Linked DNA regions of Arabidopsis thaliana. The protein of the gene in region 1 binds, or shares a complex with, the protein of each later gene. Each region holds a gene or a part of one and is shown on either strand. Other genes may lie near its edges. The genes, in order: AT2G20360 and AT5G11770. A codon is read from its position in the direction of its gene.

Region 1 (6,182 bases):
GATCGTTCTTACTTCTTAGCATGATCATCGGTTGATGGGGAGATCTATACGGAACCACTTTCCTTCCGGAACCAAGAGGAGAGGAAGAGAATGAATACTAGAAACATGTTAAAAAGACAGACCAAACATAACCCAACCTTAATCAAGGTCATCTCCTTCTGTCTAGATATGGTATCGTCGCGGGTCATTTTAACGTCATCTATATGGAGATGAACACCAGGATCTCTTAGCTTAACCTTGCTACCGATCAAAGCTGAACCACATGTTGCTTGAACATTGCTGTTCACGTAGATATTGATCCTGCAACCACTTTGACTCGCTATGTCTACATCCCTAGGCGCCACCATCACCGCACCAACATTTCTCCCGTTTAAGTTTATTCCACCACTGCCAGATTCGGGTTCGGGATAGTCTCCGTCATCTTCCATTTTGGTACAGACTGCAAAAATGAGTCTATCCTGTCTCTCCAGAGATGATATTTGCTCTATATGCTTTGCTTGGTTCTTGGGGTTCCCTAAAGTTCTTTACTTTTTCTATAGCCAGAAGCAAAGTGAATTATTCTACGATTTGCATAAACTAGATTCCTTACCCACCCCTAAATTAAGGATACCGAAGGCCTCAAGATGGGTTAATGGACATCAATGTTTCATTACTGGGAGATAACGGAGTCGAAATACCTTCTTGACCATGTAAAGGAAACTTCAAATTACTCAGGGTTTAACCTCTATTGCATACAGATGCATGTTGATACGTTTTGTCGTAAGTAAAACATACAACACCGAGCTATATGTAATGCAAAGATGAAAGCATATGGCTTTAGTTTTACTCAAGGGAAGTAGTACATGGAGTTCGAAACGAACCAGACATTGCATAAATCCTAAGGGACCAACCACATCAAGAAATATATTGTCCCCTCTCTAACTTATAATGATGTTGATGTGTTATAATTTTTTCAAGAACACAACAAAGAGGAGGACCCGTTTATTATTGACAGAAGTAAATGAAAGTCATCAACATAGCAAATCTGGTTTCCGCAATCTCATTGTGACACTTGCATGAAAAAATTAGTCCAGGAAATGACCTTTGAGCAGAGAAGCAGCATCAAGGGTAGAAGTCTGTTGGTATCTTTTCACTGACAGTAGAACCGAAGTTAGGACCACCCTTGCGATATTGGATAAGAAACTCGACCGGATATCCCTTCAATTTATGGGGGACAAGGTCCAGATCCTGAAACTTCAAGGCTGAAATAGCCATTGTTGTACAATAAAAAGTGAGACTCAATTAACTCAAGGAAAATAACTCATTTCACTTCTATGAATAATGACTAACCGTTGTCAGATACAAGTGTATCGGTTGTAAGTGCATTGATTTGATCCAGGTTGAAGATCTGAGGAGAGGGTAAGGGGAACGGGACTTTGTTCACCATGAAGTCTCGAGGAGCCGCCATTGCCTGGAACAGATTGTGACATATGTGAAATTAGTATTACAGTATTTCAAGAGGAAAACAAAAATTCTTTGGAGTTTCTTCCATGGACAGTGCACGATTCGATCTTTTACCTTGGCAATTGGAAACGGAAGCTTCACATACCGAGGCCATTCACGAATCATATCATACATGATCTCTGCCTGCAAGACATACTTGGAAATCAAACCCACTGAGCTAGGATAGTGACACAGAGAATGAAGGATTAAAAGAATTTACCAACTCGTGAGTGGTAAAGACATCTGGACCACCCAATTCGTATGTTTTCCCCATGCTGGAGCCATCATCCTTTAGAGCAGCAACAATCGCAGCAGCAACATCAACCACATAAACAGGCTGGAATCTGCAGTAGAGTTATCGTTAGGGACGGAACTAAATCTACATTTCAAGTTGCTATGAACCAGTGAAAAGAATTGCACAAAGAATTCAAGACGTACTTGGTGGTTCCACCACCTATGAGCGGGAGGAAACCATATTTTTTAACGAACATTGACCAGGGGTTCAAGATTCTGTCTTCTGTACCAATCATGGTTGCAGGTCTCATGATGGTTGCCTACAAAACACATATATATCATGAACTGACTAGAAGCAGCATGCTGATGACAAAAAGTTTATATTAACCATCCCAGGTTCACTTTTGCTTTCAAAATTTATAAGGTTTTAGAATTTAATAATAACATCATATACGGTTTTCCCAGTTCTGCACAAAAAAATCTAAAGGATCTTTCTTTTCTCTGAAAAAGAAGCAGGACCATGAATATTGAATAAAATATTACGATGATAATAATTACAACAGAGAGAGTTATGTGTACCGAAAGCCGGGTAAGTATACCTCAGGCAGTGCGTTCAAGACAGCTTCCTCAGCAGCAGCTTTTGCCCTCAGCATTCTTGAAGGAGATGACACAGAAGCTCCTAGGCAAGAAACTTGAATATATCTCATTATCCCACCGTGTTCCTTGGCCACCTGAAACAACATATCCACAAAGTCCAATCTAATCAGAAATAACCAAAAGAGCAAACCATAGCAGATCGTATCATCCCAAAGGTTAAAAATGTGTAGCTCATTGCAGATGTAGGCAACATTCTGAGGGGTAAAAAAATGGAAACCTGTTCACCGGATTTTTTGGAAACAATTCAAAAGATGATTCGCATTTTGTCAGGATTCAAACACATACCAATGCAAGTTTCTCAGCAATATGATGATTCGCATCTTCAAAACTGAAATTTCTTGTCTCGTACTCTCTTCCTGAGGAGTAGAATAAATATCATCCAAAATGGAAAGAACAGTGCTACTTTTTTAATGGTTTTAAGTTTAACTATACTTGCTAGAAAAAATTAAGATAGACAACAAAATATCACCAATTAGATTGATAACGACATTAGCCTTGGCCATGACAGCCTTAATCGAGTCTTCATCTCTTGGATCAAATTTCATTGGTACCACCTGGAATATACAGGCAACAAACACACATCAAATTTGCCGATCCAATGCATAGTTTTTTGTAAAGATGTTTTTTTGTTGCATACCCTCGAAAGCATTATGTTAAATAAAAGAATACATTACCTGTCCTAAATCTCCCATCAACTTGAGATGTCGAGGAGAGTCCTCTGAGCCTCGGAAAGGAACAAGCACTTGTGATCCCATTTTAGCTAGTAGAAAAGATTCACTCGAGTTTAGCAAGTAACAAAATAAAATCAACAAATGTACAAAATAAAAAACAAGATTGATTTACCCAACTGGTAATACCAATGATAAACCCAACTCACCTAGCTGCTGCACAAGATAACGACCCAGAAATCCTGTGGCTCCAAATACTGTAGCTACAATGCCACTGCCAAAGCAAAGGAGAAATTAAGATTTTCATATACTTCTTTTCCTCTTAACAGAAAACTCTCGAAAAAACTACAAATTAGCTGTGCTAAAGCTACCAAAAACCCCTTAAAGATGATACATTTCTCCGCAAAGGCAAGTAATTTACAATATCTATCCTCTAAGCTCGAAACTTAACAAAAGATATACAGAATAAGCATGCTTTAACATAACACGGCAAGAACATTTCTCATTCCCATGACAAACGGAACAGAAAGCTCTCGAGAAAAGTTCACTAAACTGAAGCTACTGCAAACCCATTAGAGACGATACATTTCTCCATGAAGGAAAGTAATTCATGAAAGCTATCTCTTAAGCTCAAAACTAAACAAAGCTATAGACTAAGCCTACTTAAATCCTAACAGAGACCAATATCGTTTCTCCTTCCTATATGAATTCTCAAACATTTTCTAAAGGAAACAAACCCTAAAAAAGAGCAATGGCATACCTTACGGAAGATCTCCCACCAGTACCCTTGCGAGCGAGGTGTCCCACGCCCTTAGTAGCGAGGGAAGACGAATAGCGACAATTATCAGTCCCATTCACTAATTAAAATCAGAGGAAACACACAAAATCATTAAAAACACAAATCTCTCATTAGCCCGAGACTCATAACATAAGTAACCTAGAAATCCCAATTGATATAAGAAAAAAATCAATGGCAGAAACTTAACGGTGATTAGAGACTCCGTAGAGCGATCTGAGAGAAGAAGATGAATAGATCGAAGCTCCTCCGACGAGAGGCCGTTGAACTAATCTCCTGGAAACTACTTGCATCCTTCGTTCTCAGTTACACGATCGAGACAACAAATACAGATGTGAGAGAGAGAAAGAGGAAGAAGAGGAGAGAAATGGAATACAAGAATTTGCTGCCTCGAGGATACAAGCAAATGGGCCTGGGCCTTGACAATATCTCATTGGCGACGATAAGTAACACCTTTAAAATGAAACCACGTCACTTTGTGTTGGTCCGTATTACGTAAGCCCATTTATTAGTGAAACGGCACCGTATGACAAATATTACTATTGGATTACCTTTCTTGTTAATCAAAGTTTAAAGTTATCATAAATATCATAACAACTTGATTGATTTTTATATATGCTTACAATTGTGTTTGCTTGTATATTATCTCATGATATATATAATACGTCTAACTATAAAATATAGACTTTTCTTGTCATTGGTCACAATAAACCCAAACCAAATAGATTATAAAAAAAAAAAAAAACACACACACACACACAATTGAAAGACAAAAAATGAAGTAAGATACATAAAAACACACTCACAGTCACGACTGAACTTGATAAGTCTTGCGTTAGCAATATTTTGTTTTACTTTATTTTATTACCAAACAAAATAACGTTTTTACTTTTCAAAAAAATTCTGATTTACTTGTGAAGCAAGTAAGATGCCTCTTCCTGCCTTTCTATACGTGCTCCTTCTCCGTTAATTTTTCTCAGTCGTCTTCTTGGTAGATGCTTCCTCTCCGTTCTTTGTGCCACGTCTTGCTGATCTTCTTCCGACAAACTCAGCCGCCGCATCGTTGTAAGCCTTAGCCGCCATCTCCGCTGTTGGAAACGTTCCAAGCCATCTCCTTACTTTCAAACTCGGATCCCATATCTCCGCCGCCCATTTACCTGATGGTTTATGAAAGTACATCAACTGCATGCTAACGTATTGGAACATAGTTTACCTCATGGGCTCGTGGCTTATATATATATGAAAATACATGAACTAAAACTAGCTAGTACTAGAAAAACTCAAAGCTTGTATTAGAATAGAACTTACCTGATGGTTTTTTCCTCACTCCTTTGTGCTTCTTCTCCTTCTTAATTATCGCCTCGTGTCGTGGGAAGACGCAACCGTAGCAGCCGGTGACACTACAAAGAGGACAAGGGCCAGCGTTCAAAGGTGGAAGATCAGCTTCCCATGCATTCGAGTTCGTGTCACCTCCGACGTTGGATATTACTTGTTGCAAAGCAGAGACCATGATCACATGTTCTTGATCTCTCGTCAAATTAGGAGTGAAATTGATGTTTTGATCGTAAGAGGGAACATTTTCTGAATTTTCCATTTCCGCGGAGTCGTTGAACTGAAAATAATTCGTTGCTCACGGTCACTGAGAAGTGTTGAAAGTGTTGTGAAGATTTCAAAAGAAACTACTGACGAGTAAGCAAAAAAAGGTTTATATGGTACTAGACTACTAGACATATGGTCCCATGCAAATCTTTAGATACGCGGCACCAATTAGTGTTGTTTTTTTCCTTTGAGAACGATACATCTGTTCAGTAGATATTTATTTTCTGCAAAAGCGATTGCTATATTTATTCGATACACTACTTACTAATTATTATTAGTCTTGACACCGAGTAAACCAAATATACTTCTTAGTCAAGATATTTTCAACTACCTTATTTAAGTCAAAATACAGTTGGATCCTATTATATAATGGTTTATTTTGTAATCTGGACTGCAAATATACACATTTTTTTAGTGTTTAAAAGTTGAGTTTCATTCGTAACAATTGGATAGGTGTAATTTCATTGTTTTAAAAATCATTTTATATTTTGCAATACTTTTTCATAGGTTAATACGATGGTTGTATACTTGTATGTATCAGTCCTTGGATTAATTTTGCCCAATGACATTCTATCTATAATACTTTGTTCTATCCTTTTTGCTCTTTTTTTTTTCTATCTTATATATCTAATCTACTCTTTTGATTTAGCATTACATTGTGCAACGCTATACAAAATGGAACCATATGTTTTCGAGCTTTTTGAAATATTTTTGGGGGTTATTTCTGTTCTGTTAAGATATATTTC
Region 2 (4,919 bases), on another chromosome or scaffold:
CCTCAGGACGAGACGACCACTCAGGACGAGAACTCTCCGTAACAACAGGGAAAGCCGACCCAGCTCGAGTATTTTTAATAACGATACGGAAGATAGCCGACCCAGGAAGACAACTGAAGACGGGTTACGAGTGTTCACGGAAAATGAAATTGGTTTCAACAGGAAAGATGCTGGTGGTACTCGTTTTTGTCCCTTTGACTGTTATTGTTGCTTCTAAATCTTCTTAAACCATTTCGTTTTGAACCTTTTGTTTTATGGTGCCAAAGGAGATTTAACTCGTTCTGCTATTAATGGATGTATGATCTTATAACTTAAAACCATATTTTTCGTTCTTGTTCATGTTTGATGAGAAAAAAAATTACATTTTACTCTCTACCTAGTTCTGCTCTAGTCTGAGGAAATATCTGTCTTTATTTACTCGAAGGATTAAGATTTCTTATACATGGAATTTTGTTTTCCAGCAACTATAATGTATACCATCTTAATTTGTTCTTCCCTGTCAAAGCCATTATGTATGACTTATGGTCTAAACTCTAAACCATTTGTGTAGTAGTCTGCAATTAATCGATGGAAAAAAATTCTATCTTTAGTAAAAACATCAAAAGTATAAGTATGATCAAAATTACTTTTTCACAATATGTAAGGTTAAGAGTAACAATAGATGAGACTGAAAAGTGTATTCACCTGAAAGCATCAAGAGTACACAACGACCAAACATTATGCATGTCAGACACTCGTTTGTCCGTACTAAGCTTTTGTATTGTACTGTATAAGCTCTACAAAACACACTCGTATGTATAAATATATGTAGGTATTTAGCAATAGTCAGCATGTAGCTGAAAACTGGTAGAGAGAGATATATAATAAAAGAGCCCATAAAAGAACTCAGACAACAAACATCTTAAGTTTATTAAGTTTCCACAACAAACTTAGAAACACACTCCTTTACATGGCATCTCCACCACAAAGAAATATGCAATGAAACGTCCACGATTTATTATCCCCAAACTTTGGTAAAAATGTCTGAAAAAAGTCCCTTTCACGATTGGAGGACGGGTTCGAAGCTCACTTGTTCCACCAATGCAAGAAATCCTTGCGCCTGTTGATTTTCTTCTGAAGCTGGAGTAGTCCATAGAGCAAAGCCTCAGCGGTTGGTGGGCACCCCGGGACGTATATGTCGACTGGGACAATTCTGTCACATCCTCGAACCACCGAGTAGGAGTAGTGATAGTATCCACCTCCATTGGCACAACTTCCCATTGAAATCACCCACCTTGGCTCAGGCATCTGGTCATAAACCCTGTGATTGTATTCAAACATTAGAAGTTGGAATTTCACACAGGATAAAGAAGAACAGAACCATAAATCATTTGAGTTGATCCGCATATACAACTTCTCTCAATCTTACCAGATCAAGACTGATTTCTGCACATATCTCTATATACTAGTTTCTGACTAATAGTTAAATTCAGTATAAGAACTAATCTAAACCAACTTAGAAAGCAGTTAATCATCTCCCGAATGCATCTAAAATGTGCTCGTCTTATTGGTTGATGTTTACACAACCTCTAGCTATTAAGATTGACTTGGGATATTTTCTAAGTGTCTGGGCCTAAAGTTATCATTAATATAAGCACAGCAGCCATTGGCATACGTTTCTTAACAACAGGATTCTCATCTAAAGAACATAAGTTCTACACTTGAATGAAGACTTCATACATCAAACAAAAAAAAGAGGAATCTCTTAAGTGTGCCGGATATCAATTTCCTATAAAACACACACCAAGCAGAAAATATGTGCATCAAGTCTCAGATTCTAACTAAGCAAAATCATCACGCAAGATTCTAATCAGTCAACAGACGGAACTACAAAACAAGATAATGAAAACATCATAACAATGAACCTCCAACCTCTTACTAGTAAGACACTAACACATGTTTCCCTAATGAACACCAAGCTAGAAAATCTGAAATTCCTAACTCCCCTCAAAAGACGGGCACAGAGCTCACATAAAAAGAGATATAACTCCACCATATTTGTTCATCCCTTAATTAAAACGCTCCCAATTTCATGAAATTCGAACAAAAAACTTGACGAAACACTAGTTAAATCTGCGCTAGACAATGAATACGAACTGTATAGCTTCCCAAGTCATTCTTATATCCATACAGCAATTCTCAATTTGTCACAGACCTAGCAATACAATCAGAATACATGAACCCTAAAATCGCCGGAAAAGAATAAATTCCAATAGAAACCCCCAAATTATATCCTCCGAAAACCTAATTCAGAGGCCTCTAAAGCAGAAAACGCACAAAGTGAAATTAGAAGAAATCTTCCCACGACAAAACTATATCCGAGATCCAAAGATATAAATCAGCCGTTAATTCCATGAATAAGGGAGATAGAGAAAGATAAGCGTACTTGCGAAGAGCCGGAGCCATCTTATTGGTAAGAGTACCGGCGACAATCATACAATCAGACTGGCGAGGACTAGGCCTGAAGATGATACCGAATCGATCGAGATCGTAGCGAGCAGCACCGGTATGCATCATTTCGACGGCGCAGCAAGCGAGACCAAAGGTCATAGGCCAGATCGATCCGGTACGAGCCCAGTTCATGAGATCATCGACCTTGGAGATCACAAATTCGGCCGCTTTAGAGAGACCAGGAGGAGGAGGGGAGGTCGAAGGAGGACCAGGTCTGGTGTAGGAAGTCGGTGATGTGGAGGGAGAGAGAGCGGGAAGGGATGTGTGGAGGTGAGAGACCGAGGCAGCGGCGACGGCGCGTTGAGATTGGAGGAGGAGAGGGAGGCGCGTGGCGGTGTTGCGCGTAATCATCGCCATTTAGATTTGTCTCTCTGAGTTTTTTTTTTCCTCTCGTCGTGGAGTTGTGATAACCAAACGAGTCTCTAACCATTTACTAAACGCAGGTGGCGAAGTATTTATATGACTCGTAATCGTATCATTTTTTTTCACCTTTTGTACAGTATTTCATTTATTTCATAAAACAATGACTTGGCAATAATAATTTACTCTTGTAACTTTCTCATTACAAAAACTATTTAGACAGAAAATTTATCAAATCTTTAAAAGTATTAAGTTTTTGATTGTGGTTGTATGACTCGTGATATCAAGAAAAGGAAGAAAAAAAAATAGATAGAAAATTTATATGGAATGTGTAGAGCCAATTGTATTTTGATATGAATTGGAGAAATCACATGATGTATAACAGTATAATTAGGAAAAATCTTTCTATTTGTTTTAAAAATTCATGTTCGTATTTACGACGTTTTAAGTCTTTTGTTCATAGGGTTTAGATTCTGGAGAAATCACTTTTTCGTAATTACGAAAACTTTATTTTGTCTGTCGGTTTAAGTTTCTCTTGATTAGAAGTTGTATTTTAAGATGATTCTACATAAGTTGTATTGATAAAGTTTCATATGACCAAAAAGAAAAGAAGTAGAAAGGCTAAAAATGGATCAAGTCATAGCATTTTCTCTTTATTTCTTTTAGGCAAATTAGCTGATTAGCCAATTTTCGAAATTTGCATTTATCCTTACTTCATAAATCATTTAGTAACTAGCAATTTTCGTTAATCCACACTTATAAATCATTTATCGTATTTGCCATAATGAAAATAAAACAAATATACTAGTAGTCTTGTACGTTTTTGGAGTGAACTCAATTTGAAAATGTAATGTACACATTTTTTTTTTATGTTTAACATTGGGATTCCCTCTCTTTATTCGTTCCCTTTTCTTTGAATTTCAATAGGGTTTCTCTGTTTCCTTCCAACTTCCCAAAATTCAAAATCCCTTCTCTGTCACCGGAAAATTCCCAAAATGCAACCTCCGATTTGTAAACCCAGACCTCAGAGTCACCTCGAATTTCTGAAACCGCTTCTCAATGACTCGATCAAGCAGCTCTTGTTACAGTACCGAGGCGGACGAACCAATTTCTCCGATTTCGACTCCATTTTCACTCGTATTCTTAACGATCTTCCCGAACCACCACCTCTCGAGCTCGTCTGGTTCTACTCCGCCATCAGATTCTACTCTTCCAAGTTAGCTTTCCGGGATGATTCCGTTAGGTTAACTTCGTGTTTCTTCCAGCTGATAGTTTCGTTTTCCGATTCGTTTTCCGGTGTTAAGAAGGTATCGCTGTTATCTCCCGTTGTTTACCAGTTGAGTCGTTTAGTTATTTCTAGGAGGAGAGATGCTTTGAGCTTGTTAGAAGGGATTGTGAGCTATATTAGCATGTACTGTGTCGATGAACCTGGAAATGAAGATGATGATGTGTTGATGGTCTCTGGGTTTAGTTTTGCTGATTTGAGTCGAGTTTGGGTTGTGGATGAAGTGGAAGATAATTGTAGAGTTGAGGATTGTTTGGAGGTGTTCATGCCATTTGCTAGTGAAATTTTGCGTAAAGAGATCGATTCTGAGTCCTGTGGCGTTGGTTACTTAGCTGGAATCGTAGCTTCTCAGGTTTTCTTGCTCAGTTTGTGCTCGAGGTTTGATTTGGACTTAGGTAGATCCGAGCTAGATAAAGATCTGCAGGAATCTGTGCTTCAGATGATATCTGGGTTCCACAGTTGCTTCTTTTTTGGTGAGTGTTACTTTTTCTTTAGCTACTTTGCATTCTGTGGGAAATAGAGAAGCATTATGTGACTAGTGACTCCTTTTTCATAAGCTTCCAGATGTCTCAATTGGTTTTGTTTTCAATCATGTGTTCTTGTTCTTGTGACAGATGTCATTCTCAAGATGCTGCTGGAGCCATATCTGCATCTAACTTCATTAATGGGAGTGGTTGGTTCTTTGACTAAACTATGTATAATCTATTTAGTCTTTTCTCTCTGGGTGACTTGAAAGTTTGAAACTAGTGGCCTGTGCTTTCTATATGTGTATTCAGTCGGAAGT

The links.
Region 2: the proteins of AT2G20360 (region 1) and AT5G11770 are in contact, whole or in part, in a cryo-EM structure (PDB 8BEE), measured with the Arabidopsis thaliana proteins. Residues at the interface, in NP_565469.1 of Arabidopsis thaliana: Arg100 (codon at 3,101), Gly101 (codon at 3,098), Ser102 (codon at 3,095), Glu103 (codon at 3,092), Asp104 (codon at 3,089), Arg107 (codon at 3,080), Lys110 (codon at 3,071), Leu111 (codon at 3,068), Lys122 (codon at 2,915), Thr151 (codon at 2,715), Arg152 (codon at 2,712), Asn153 (codon at 2,709), Phe154 (codon at 2,706), Pro330 (codon at 1,411), Phe331 (codon at 1,408), Pro332 (codon at 1,405); in NP_196738.1 of Arabidopsis thaliana: Arg140 (codon at 2,430), Glu148 (codon at 1,281), Arg150 (codon at 1,275), Trp151 (codon at 1,272), Asp176 (codon at 1,197), Arg177 (codon at 1,194), Ile178 (codon at 1,191), Val179 (codon at 1,188), Pro180 (codon at 1,185), Val181 (codon at 1,182), Asp182 (codon at 1,179), Lys205 (codon at 1,110), Arg208 (codon at 1,101), Arg209 (codon at 1,098), His214 (codon at 1,083), Trp215 (codon at 1,080), Trp216 (codon at 1,077), Asn217 (codon at 1,074), Lys218 (codon at 1,071).

The regions. Positions count from the first base shown.
Region 1 is NC_003071.7:8,784,018-8,790,199, reverse strand, and holds AT2G20360 (NAD(P)-binding Rossmann-fold superfamily protein), read right to left. Parts: upstream 4,241-6,182; 5' UTR 4,131-4,240; coding exon 4,028-4,130; intron 3,899-4,027; coding exon 3,802-3,898; intron 3,316-3,801; coding exon 3,251-3,315; intron 3,134-3,250; coding exon 3,048-3,133; intron 2,928-3,047; coding exon 2,843-2,927; intron 2,730-2,842; coding exon 2,659-2,729; intron 2,448-2,658; coding exon 2,316-2,447; intron 2,037-2,315; coding exon 1,921-2,036; intron 1,827-1,920; coding exon 1,703-1,826; intron 1,627-1,702; coding exon 1,558-1,626; intron 1,451-1,557; coding exon 1,330-1,450; intron 1,242-1,329; coding exon 1,102-1,241; 3' UTR 630-1,101; downstream 1-629. Other genes in the region: AT2G20362 (uncharacterized protein), read right to left, coding at 45-428; AT2G20350 (Integrase-type DNA-binding superfamily protein), read right to left, coding at 4,804-4,994, 5,146-5,431. UniProt on the Arabidopsis thaliana protein: Accessory subunit of the mitochondrial membrane respiratory chain NADH dehydrogenase (Complex I), that is believed not to be involved in catalysis. Complex I functions in the transfer of electrons from NADH to the respiratory chain.
Region 2 is NC_003076.8:3,790,083-3,795,001, forward strand, and holds AT5G11770 (NADH-ubiquinone oxidoreductase 20 kDa subunit), read right to left. Parts: upstream 2,945-4,919; 5' UTR 2,848-2,944; coding exon 2,426-2,847; intron 1,301-2,425; coding exon 1,066-1,300; 3' UTR 626-1,065; downstream 1-625. Other genes in the region: AT5G11760 (stress response protein), read left to right, coding at 1-217; AT5G11780 (SNF2 domain protein), read left to right, coding at 3,846-4,608, 4,750-4,808. UniProt on the Arabidopsis thaliana protein: Core subunit of the mitochondrial membrane respiratory chain NADH dehydrogenase (Complex I) that is believed to belong to the minimal assembly required for catalysis. Complex I functions in the transfer of electrons from NADH to the respiratory chain.